2 linked regions of the Arabidopsis thaliana genome follow. The protein of the gene in region 1 purifies or fractionates together with the protein of each later gene. This does not show direct contact. Each region holds a gene or a part of one and is shown on either strand. Other genes may lie near its edges.

Region 1 (5,495 bases):
TTATCTTAAGATAAGATTATGTTCAGACTAATAAATATTATTTTCTCTTATCTTCTTTACTTACTTAAGCAAATAATTCAAAACTTATCTAATGATAACAGTTCCAAATAATAATCCAAAATTAGTGCTAATACGTGGATTAAACAAACATATTAATCAAGATCCATGAGAACGAACCAGATCTACATTCTAGAATTACCATACATAATGGTTTAACATAAATGAGAAGAACCAAACCTGAGAAGACGACGGAAGTGTTAAAAACTCGTAACAGTCGCCGGAGAGTGAGAGAAGAAAGGGCAAGAGAGTAAGAAAATGGGGAAAAAGAGTCATGATGAGTGAAGTTGTTGTTTTATAGATAGAATAAGAAGTAAGGAAGAAGAATACAAAACGGGACTTGTTAAGAGACCGAAACAAGACAAAAACAAAACGGGTCTGGTAAGGAAAAATGTCGACGGAAGAGACGGAGTTAACCGGTAATTACCGGTTAAGAAACGGTCAAGTTATATTACTGGTCTGATTTTGGGTTTTGGACTTTTCGCTTGGGATACTTATTTTATCGGTCTCCAGTCACTTTTATTTTCTTTATTATAGATTTTTGTTTTTTCTCGACATATAAACCAAACACAGTGGTGGACTGGTAAGCTTGTTAGTCTGGTAGGTAGACAATATAATTAATAAGTATATATATCACATTTATTTAATGTTTTATTTTATTTGTAGAATGATGAGAGAGCTTCAATATAAATTAACTAACATTTTCAAGTTGCTTTGAATTATGTGGCTCCCATAGTTCAAGTTTTTTTGGATCATCTAAATATCTAATACATTTGGAAAGCCTGAAATGAGAAGTTTTATGAAAATGTGGATAAAGACCCAAGTGAGGTTCTCCAATTAGAGTAAAATGAAGCCAATTCGTAGACTTTAACTCAAATGGAGATAGTTACAGAAACACAGGTTCATATATTTCATTTATGGTTCCTGGAAAGGAATGATGATTTCTCAGGAATATGATGGTTTTATACACTATCAAATGAAGACACGCCAATTATGGGAGCTGTCAACCTTCGATAAATCTTGACTTATGTGCTTGAAATGTAAAAGCATTCGTTTGGACAATGAAATGCATGATTGACTTTCATTAACGTGAAGTAATTTTCATTACAGATTGTTTAGATCTAGTAAAGATAGTGTCTTCATTAACTAAGTGACCATCATTTTTTATAAATTTGTAGGCAATTGAGTCACGAGAGAAAAAAAATTCTTCTTTTTCGATATCTTTAATTTCTCGTCGAGCTAATGTAAAAAGGAAATTTCATGTGTATATCTTAAGAGCCAAAGTGTAAACTTTAACATGCAACTACACCTCCAAACATTGTTAGACATTTTTTTTTCAACTTCCTGAGCTTGTTAGAGTTGATAATTTTTTATTACACTTCCAAAATCCAAATTTTCAAAGAAAAAATGCAAAATTTTATGAAATTTGATTTATACATCCAACTTCAGAAACTTGGTGATAACTCCCATCATTTCACCGCCATGGAAACGGCCAAGACATCTTCTTGCAGCTGCAATCTCGTTCAACTCTGAGACTGAATCTCCACTAATCGCCAGAGAAGCTTCCCTCCTCCCACAGTCTTCTTCTTCTTTTCCGATGACATTTTCACTGGATGCTATATCCGTTGGAAGTGGAAAAGGGTCTAAAGATGTCTCTAATAGAGCTGATTCTCCTCCAACCGCTCTCACAAAGTCCTTTAACCGGCACATTGTGAATGGGACAGGCTCGAAGCTGTGGTCTCCATACTCAACTGGAGTAGAATGATCACCAGTCACACACAAGAAATACTGGTAATTTGAAGAAGATTCAGCTTGCCATAGAAGCTTAGCGAGCTGACGTATCGCTTTATCCACAGCTTCCAAGCCTCGAACTTTGAACAATGTAGCCTTGTCATGACCTGCATCATCTATAGCCTGCACGAATAATTTAGAATCAGAATGAAATTTTTTATGTTGTGTTAAAAGACAGAGACATGTTTTCACCTTAATGTGAAGGAAGCCGAAATCGTAACCATCTGACCTTCCCGGTTTATGCCCGTCCTCTGCTGGTTCAAAGACATTTGGGCAGGGATTCAAAGGAGCTGAAAGCGCATTCGCTATAGCAATCGCTTTCGATGTGAGAAGCGTCCGGTAATCTCCAGTGGCTCCCAGAGCTTCAAGAATATCAATACCAAGGGACATACCAAGTCCGGCTATAATCTTCGTTGGTGCTACCATACACGGCCACAAACCATGCTTCTCGTGAAAAGGAGGAACCTTTATATACAAAACCCATAACAGATAAGTAGATGGAGCAAATAGATTCATTAAAAGCATTCGTAAGAGACAGTGAACACAAACCTCGATTCGAATACCACAGCCTCTTAAAAGAACAAGATTAGCAATATTCTTGCCTTGTGCAGCTCTCTTTACATTAACCGGGTGGGAAACAAGAATGCGCGATATCTCCCGGGATAATTCGTTCACGACTTTGGCTGTGTGATTAGCTTCTTCTGATTCATCCAAAGGTTTAGCTTCAAGAAGCAAACGATTATCCTTCAATGGATCTGTTCCAGATATATTCCCACTAAGTTTTGGCCCTTTTACAACCACTCCACATCTATGTTCCGTTGCATATCTATCAACCAAAAACTTCCTTTAGTCAAAAACTCGAAATCCGAAACCATAAAGACGAAAGGAAACATATTTAACAACCTGACTCTAACTTCATACTCAGGGAATGATGGAAGCTTCATTCCATCAAGAGCAGCACAAAGTATAGGTCCTTCTTCTTCGAAATGTCGATCAGCTCTTCTACTAACAACAACTCCAGAATCCTCATCCAAAGTTGCAAAATTTGACTGCATAATGACACATTGATCAAAACCTATAAACAACAAAGAATAATACACAAGTAAAAGCAAAATCAAAAACCTTGAAAGCTATGTCACCAGGTGACATAGCTAATCCTGCACCCATAGATTCAAACGCGCCACGTCCACGGTAATACACTCTTGGATCATAACCCATTAGAGAAAGATGAGCAGTGTCACTACCACAACCTAATCCAACTTCAACTGGATCCATTAAACCATTGATTCCAGCTGAAGCAATTGCATCAAGGTTAGGTATTTCTGCTGCTTGCAATGGTGTTTTGTAACCTAATCTTGGTATTGATACATCTCCCAAACCATCAATTAGTATAAAGGCAACTCTTTTTTGAACTTCTTCCATTTGCTACAAGTGGGTTCTGTTCCAATTGGTAAAGAGGAAATTAAAAGTCTGAGACTTTAAGAATTATCAATGATTCACATAACGATCGATCTCTTATTACAAAGCAATGTAGAGATCTCTAATTCTATGAATGAGCTATTTGCGATGAAATGTTCAGAAAGTTCGAATCTTTAGATAACGAATCTACAATAATCAGAATCAGAATCCATTTTAACCCTTACCGGCGGTGTCAGAATCGTAAACGTCGCCGGAATTGTGTCTGCAGCTCCAAAGTTGAGAATTGTGGTGACGTCGTGTGTCGTTTGTCGGCTTCTGCTCAGTTAGAAAGATGCAAGTCATTACGTAAAACGATGTCGTTTTAGGCTAAGTTTAAAGTCATTAAGTAAACGATGTCGTTTTGGTGGTAAAGGGATTTAAACCCATTAGAACATCCACAATGGTGGGTTTTCAAAAATGGGTATGTATTGAATAAAAAATATTATTTTTATTATAATTTTATTATTTAATTAAAATAATTGGTTTTTACCAATAAAATCTTAACATCTGTAAAGTAGAGGTTCTCTCATATGGCTCAAAGTTTCTCTAGAGAGAGTTTTATTTGACGATTCTCTCCCATTGTCTCTTTCCATACTTTCTTTTCATTATTTTATAATATTTTAATAATTAAAATGAGAGTTCCACAGTTGTGAATGCTCTTATAGGTTTTAGCATCATTAGTTTTGTTGTTGATTGATTTGATTTTGTTGGGGGTAAAACTAAAAACTGTTTTACACAAACACTTTAAATTCAAATTTGAGGTGTAAGTTTTTACTGTTTGGTCTCCATCACCTACAATTTTTTAAAAGAATTTCGCACTTGTTTAATGTTTCAACGTCTTATAAATTAGTTTGATTTTTCTTTTTAAGTTATTTAATTGGTTAGTGTTGTAGCTGTATTTTAATTGATAGAGTTTGTCCAGAATTTGGTTTAAGAAAATAATGATATGGTGGTGAGTAATATGTTTTTTTTTTGCTAAAGTCTACTCTATAATTTTTTTTAAAATGAATGATGTAAAATCTTAATTAATATATTTGATACTTTTTGAAAATTCTAATTAGAGCATTTCCATTGGAGGTGGTATCCTCTATTAAATTATTGAAGAAAGAAAAAGAATTGTGACTGTGAGAAAAGAGTGAGAGAGGTTTTTTTTGGGGAAGATACAATGATCTCTCATTAAGCATCTCTCTTAACACTTGTAATGTTATAATTAGATCATAAATATAGTTTTTCTTTTAATTTTAAAGAAACCCATGAGGGGTTCTAACTAATGTGGATGATCTAGCGTGATTGTCATATTCGTCAGTCAAATCAATTATATTTTGATATATAATAAAAAATATAAACAAAATAAGAAGAAAATCAACAAAAACAAAAATAAAAAATAAAAACAGATTGATTTAACATATTCATGGAGCATTAAATTAGAAACTCGCCTGTTAATACATGATTTTATCATTTTATTGATTAATTCATATAATATTTTATTTACATGAACAGTAAGAAGTACAGTAAATGGAATTTAAGAAAATAAATTTTCGAATTTTTATAAAGCAAATGGAGAAAAGCAGGTTTTGAACATTTTTACCTCATAAATCATAATAAGCCTTCCGATTGATTGGCCGGAAACATGGTGAAACCTCACAACCGGCTCAGCGTATCACAGGATGGATGGATAAACAAATTCGAAATCAGATTTCAGCTATTCGACTTTCAGGTGACAAGCGTTATAACGTTATTCCACTGGATTCAATCTCGGAGCTAGATACCTTTTGTTGCACAATTTCGATTAATTATTCTCTAAAATTTTCAAAATTCTTTTGATTTCTTTTTTCAAAATTCTTATGCACAAGTTGTAAAACCGTATATATTTTTCTTTTAAATATAATTTGACATTACATTAAAAAAAAAAGGCTTCCGATTGATTAGTCCAAGTTAATCCATATGAGTATAGCTAAATTGATGATCTCAACTAAATGGAAGAGGAGAAGTAAACATAAACTCAGTGAAGTTTTCTGTGGACTTACAATCAATGGCGGAACCAAAATAATTACTCATGGAGGTCATAACTATTAAGTAGTGGCATGAAAGTCATCAACCAAAATGTAAGAACCTTAATTGTCCAGTTCTTCCTGTGAACGAATGTGGCTACTCGAGTTGTTCTAGGTAGAAAAGCGAATGTGATTTTT
Region 2 (5,217 bases), on another chromosome or scaffold:
AGACTTAAATCTTTTGAGGTCAAACACATAGCATACCTGGACCATCTCACTGATGAAGTTCAATCCTCCAGGCCCAATGATAGATCCTGCTAGCAAATATCCAGTTATCACCTACATAAGCACAGAATGAGTCATAGCTATCAGAAAACAAATGCATCATACTGAAACATAAAGTCATATTGATAGAGAATAAGAGTAGCACGAAAATCAGACCGGCTGTCCAGCACAAGCAAAGGCGATACCACCACAAGTTGCAGATACAATGACAACCACCAGGTCTGATATCAGTCTACATGCCATAAGAAGCAGAAATCAGATGACTGATTGAAAATTATAGTCTTTTTTTCAAGAATCATGTTTAAGACCAAGAATCTTGCCTCAAGTCTAGCTGCAATACTGGATACTTTGATTTGGAATTGGATATGATGAAGACATTGTCCTGACACAAGGCCAAAACTTCCATGTAAGAAGTAATGCAACAAATCCAAACTCAGTCTTCCTGTGTAAAAACTTACTTTTCGATCAATGAGAGTTGGAGTGTCCTCAGCTCTGTTATCATTGTTCAAGTTGAAAACATCATGGAGTTGAAAACGCCTATGGAAAATTAGATAACGCTTAATACGTCTTCAATTCCAGAACATCAAAGAAGGTCATACAAAGGAAGATTTAGAAATATAAACGATAACTATAATAGAATGGTGTACTTCTCCTCTTTTGTCTCATTTTTCTTGGTCGACTTTACTCGGGCTACAGTTTCCAGAACAGCCTGATCACCACAAGGTACAACAACCAACCTCACATTCAGATACTCAAACTATGCAATTAATGAGAGAAATGATCAAATCTTAAAGCAAGCCTTATACTTTCAAACAAAAGACTTGGGAGTGATTTTGACACTGCTTGAATTTCCTAGAAATTGTCCAACTTTGAATAATAAACAGAAGCAAGTATATACTAATGATTAAAAGTTAAAACAAACCTGTTGTCCAGCTACACTGTTATTGAAGCTTCCAGGATCAGCCACTGCCACAAATATAACAACATTGGGAGATAATATATCGAGTAAAAGTGTAAGAATACAAGATAAACACTCACTATCCATTTCAGGAAAACCAATCACAAAAATGTATCTTGTTTGTGTAAATATTCTCGATCTAGAAGAAGCAAACTATTCCACATTGGGAGATCCCCAAAAAGGAAAGACGAATGTGGGATCAATCTAAAGTTCCGAACTTTCAATTGGATCACGGATCCAATTCAGGATCTACCTAATGAATTCTAGTTGTTCAATGGCCATTTCAAGCTCCATAAAGTAGCAAAAAACACTAACCTTCATTCTGGTCGCTTTCATTGAACTCTTTTTCAAGAGCACGATCGATGATGTCGGCGAAGCTACCTTCCTTAGGCTTAACAAGAGAAGAAGAAGAAGAAGCGTTGAGAGATGCGACGGAAGAGGAGGAGTTGGCGACTGTTTCATCCAGTAGATCCGAATCAGATATAGCTCGAGGAGACGCGACGGAGAAGCAGAGGAAGAAGGAGAGTAAAAGTAAGAGGAGAGCTAGCTGTTGAGAGGAGAGCGAGAATCTTCTTCTTCTTCTTCCTTCCACCATGGCAGAACAACTGGTTCTGGATTAAACCGGACTGGAGCAACGGTCTAGCAGAAGAACCGGAACCGTCGCGAGTCTCTCGATCGAGGACGAGGAGTGGGCAAGTGGGGAGAGAGGGAAAGTGAGATTGTTGCAATGGTCAACAAACAGTCCATACATAGGCTCTCTACATATAACAAGACTATACTGTACAATTTACGACATATCTGTATTAAAATTAATTATCGGATTTTTTTCTTTTTAATGTTGTGTTGTTTCTTTGTAATATACAGCAACTGCACCATGTCCATGTGGTAGATTAATGAATGGAATGGGTCTTTCTTGGTTATTTGATTTTCGATTAGGACAAAACATCTTCCATTTCTATAAAACTTTAGCTCAATGTCTACGCCATACTTATTATTACTCAATGCGACTCTTTTTCATGTAATCATTTAAATCCAATAAAAATAGATTTCACTGTATTTATAATTCTGTGAAATTTGTAAACGTGTTTTTTTAGTTCATGGTCCCCAAAAATTATCCAAAAAATCGCTGTCAATTAAAAAATTAAAAACAAAAAAAAAGAAAAATTATATTATATATATATATATATATATTCCCCTCACGACAAAAAAATATATATATTCGCTTCTGTTTTTTTCTTCTCGGACAATTCGTCTTTTGACAACAATGGCGGACAAATCAAGCAGATCACTGATATTGTACGGAGACGGCTTGGCTCGATTTGTCGATCCGTCAAATACCAACATCCATTCTCTTGCTTCCGTCGCTACTTGTGGCTTCTTGAGCCTTCCTAATGCACCTCCAGGTCTCTCTTTCTCTCTCCCTCGCTATCTCTTCATAAATTTGGTTACTTTCGTTTGATTCGTCTTGAATTTCAGTCAAAATCGCTACTTTAAGGGTTTTCACTTGTTAGGATTTCTTAGTGTTGATCAGAATTGAACCATATCGTTTGGATTCGATTGTGACTTTTTTAATAGTCCAATATGAAACTCCAGTATACAATTGATCTAACTGGCCAACTTAGAGTTCTTGTTCAGTGTCAATTGACCCAATTGCTTAAGAAACAAAGATTTGAGATCACTTGTGTTACATTGCCCTTGCTTTGACATTTTGCTATTGATCTAACTCACTCTGCTGTTTCAATATTGCAGAAACTGAGAATGAAAGAATAGTTCGAGAATTCTCCCACTTGCTGGATGCATCCGAAGCTTATTCCATAGCTGTGAGATACTTTACTCTCTACTATATTAATTTCTATGTGAGCCGAGTTTTGTGGCAAAATATTTAACAATCTCAGTGTGTTTACATAGTTATTCACGAATTAGAGATTAACGAACCATGATCTGATTTCTTAATAGAGTGGACTAAAACCAAAGGGAAATGGAAATGATATCTCAACTTTGGCTGAAAGGTTATACTTTTCACTTATCTCTATAGTTTTATACTCTCTTTGATAATCAATAGCTGGTATATCCATATGTTGATGCTAGTATTTACTTTAATGCCAGGTTTATGGGACTCAAAGCTGCTTTAGTTACGGACAGTTCTACTCTGACTTCTTTCGGAAAACTGATTGGCTTAGATGTATTACAGCTTAGTGAAATATGCCAAGAGAGTGATTCCTTTCCTTCTGATGCCACATCATCTAAACTACTAAAGCTGCTTGGATTTGAAGGAGGAAAGTGCTTGGATGTGAACCTATATGACTTGGTTTTTGTTCATTTCGGGGTTGATGAATATAATAACGGGAACAACATGGGAATTCTCGACTCTTTGATTGGCAGTATTATGGGAATGGCTCAACCAGGTTCAGAGATTCTATCGCGGTTGCATCTGTCTGTCGTTCTTAGCTATGGTTCTGTCACAGACAAAGATGTTTCAGTTTTTCCAATCAAGACTCCACAAGAAGACATTAACCCGGCATTTATAGGACTTGTCCCGCGTCAGAGCTACACCATGCGAGGTGAAAAGACACGGGATGATGTTCGGTAAGAGATTCGATGAATTTTTGTCAAAACCAAAAGAATTTGATTTGAACTTTTCTGAAATCATCATTTCGTTCTTGACGGGTTTGGTCATTCTTGCAACCTACAGGCACTACTGTCCTATGTTGGTAGCTCAGTGGCAGCATGGGGTGACCCGGAAAGACTTAGTTGATACCTTATCATTTGAAGCTCTCAAAAAGGTATGGTTTCTGTTTAATGCAAGTTCTGCTATAATAAACGTCACGGCTTCTTGTCTCAAGGTTAATTTTTTTGTTGTTTCTCTCTTTTCATCATAGCTCTGTGGAAATCTTGTTATACCGGCTGATCGGTTCATCCACGAAGTTGCTTTCAAACTTTGGAAAGCCCCAAAATATGGAGCTTAAGCAAAAGTAATCATCTAGTCCGGATGAATTCATTCTCTTTCCGCTGTTGAAGTTGTTTGTGGATTGATCTCAAATTTGCTACCTTTACATAAAGGAAAGACACAAAAGCTGTTCTGTTTCTTCTAGATTATGTATCGTGTTATCCATTTCATACACACAAAAATAGAGATATAACATATATCCTGAAGTGGTCATGGAAGTGTAAAGATTATGGATCCTCTTTTACAGGGTGGTAATTAGTACCGCCGATCCAAACCATTCTCAATTCATCTCCATAGAGCCTTTGGCCTTTATTGTCTCTTTTGATCCTCCTTAGATATAGCCCGTCTCTCTTAACCACCCAAATGCACTCTTCCTCATCCGGATTATCACATTGCCACCTGAATAATCTCTCCCCGGCAAAAACCGTTGCTGTCTGACCAAATGGCGAGCCAAACGCGGTGAAGAACGTGCACTCAAAGTATGTGTAGAAAAACGGTATCTTAATAAATATTGGCTTGAACGACCAGCTTTTGGATTGGCCTGGTTTGAGAGCATGCGTGCCCAATTTGTTATTCGACGACCAACAGTTAATCGCGAGGCTACGATTCCGTCCTGGGTATATGGAGATCTCGTTTCTTACCTCGAACCGGGCTGCTGATGCGGTGTATGCAAAGCACGCTGATGCGATGAGAAGGCACCATGTGAATGCGGTGGCTAATCGGAATCTTGATCCGATCTTGAACCCAAACCCCATTGCTCTATTGAACATTTCTGTTTTGGTTTTTGAGGTTTTATACAAACGGGAGTGTTTGTTTAACAACAACAGAAAAACGGTAGTGGTTTTGGACGTTTTGTTCGTTGAGCTTTCTTTTCCCTTTTTTCGTTTTTAGTTTTAGTAAAAAGTTTAACAAATAATATTCGGTTTGGTTTCAAACAGTTTTATATTGATTGAAAAAATCTAGTAAATTGAAATTGAATGTTAAATTTGTTTTTCTTTTCTCTTTGTTATATTTACTATTTGGTTTGGATTAAAAAAAATCTCTTAGGTTCATGTGACTTTTCATAGTAGTATTGGACTAATAGTTCTTTAGTCTTTTAAGTCCTCCCTAGACCCATTTACGATACTATATCCAAAGTTCCCCATGATATTCATACCTTATATAGTATTACATTACAACTTTAATAACTACCGATGTGGGACACTGCCAAAAAAGAAGCAAACAAAAACTACCGAACGTTATATTATTACAAGAA

What was found. The genes of interacting proteins can lie anywhere in the genome.
Region 2: the proteins of AT4G09520 (region 1) and AT5G11810 fractionate together in Arabidopsis thaliana (co-fractionation; one large-scale study listed by BioGRID). This does not show direct contact.

What each region holds. Positions count from the first base shown.
Region 1 is NC_003075.7:6,023,482-6,028,976, forward strand, and holds AT4G09520 (Cofactor-independent phosphoglycerate mutase), read right to left. Parts: upstream 3,643-5,495; 5' UTR 3,492-3,642; intron 3,287-3,491; 5' UTR 3,271-3,286; coding exon 2,971-3,270; intron 2,898-2,970; coding exon 2,752-2,897; intron 2,675-2,751; coding exon 2,398-2,674; intron 2,314-2,397; coding exon 2,041-2,313; intron 1,972-2,040; coding exon 1,489-1,971; 3' UTR 1,323-1,488; downstream 1-1,322.
Region 2 is NC_003076.8:3,806,460-3,811,676, forward strand, and holds AT5G11810 (rhomboid family protein), read left to right. Parts: upstream 1-2,218; 5' UTR 2,219-2,279; coding exon 2,280-2,418; intron 2,419-2,764; coding exon 2,765-2,835; intron 2,836-2,971; coding exon 2,972-3,024; intron 3,025-3,121; coding exon 3,122-3,601; intron 3,602-3,707; coding exon 3,708-3,798; intron 3,799-3,894; coding exon 3,895-3,981; 3' UTR 3,982-4,189; downstream 4,190-5,217. Other genes in the region: KEA6 (K+ efflux antiporter 6), read right to left, coding at 37-111, 214-289, 378-439, 516-594, 705-766, 980-1,023, 1,331-1,610; AT5G11820 (Plant self-incompatibility protein S1 family), read right to left, coding at 4,190-4,732.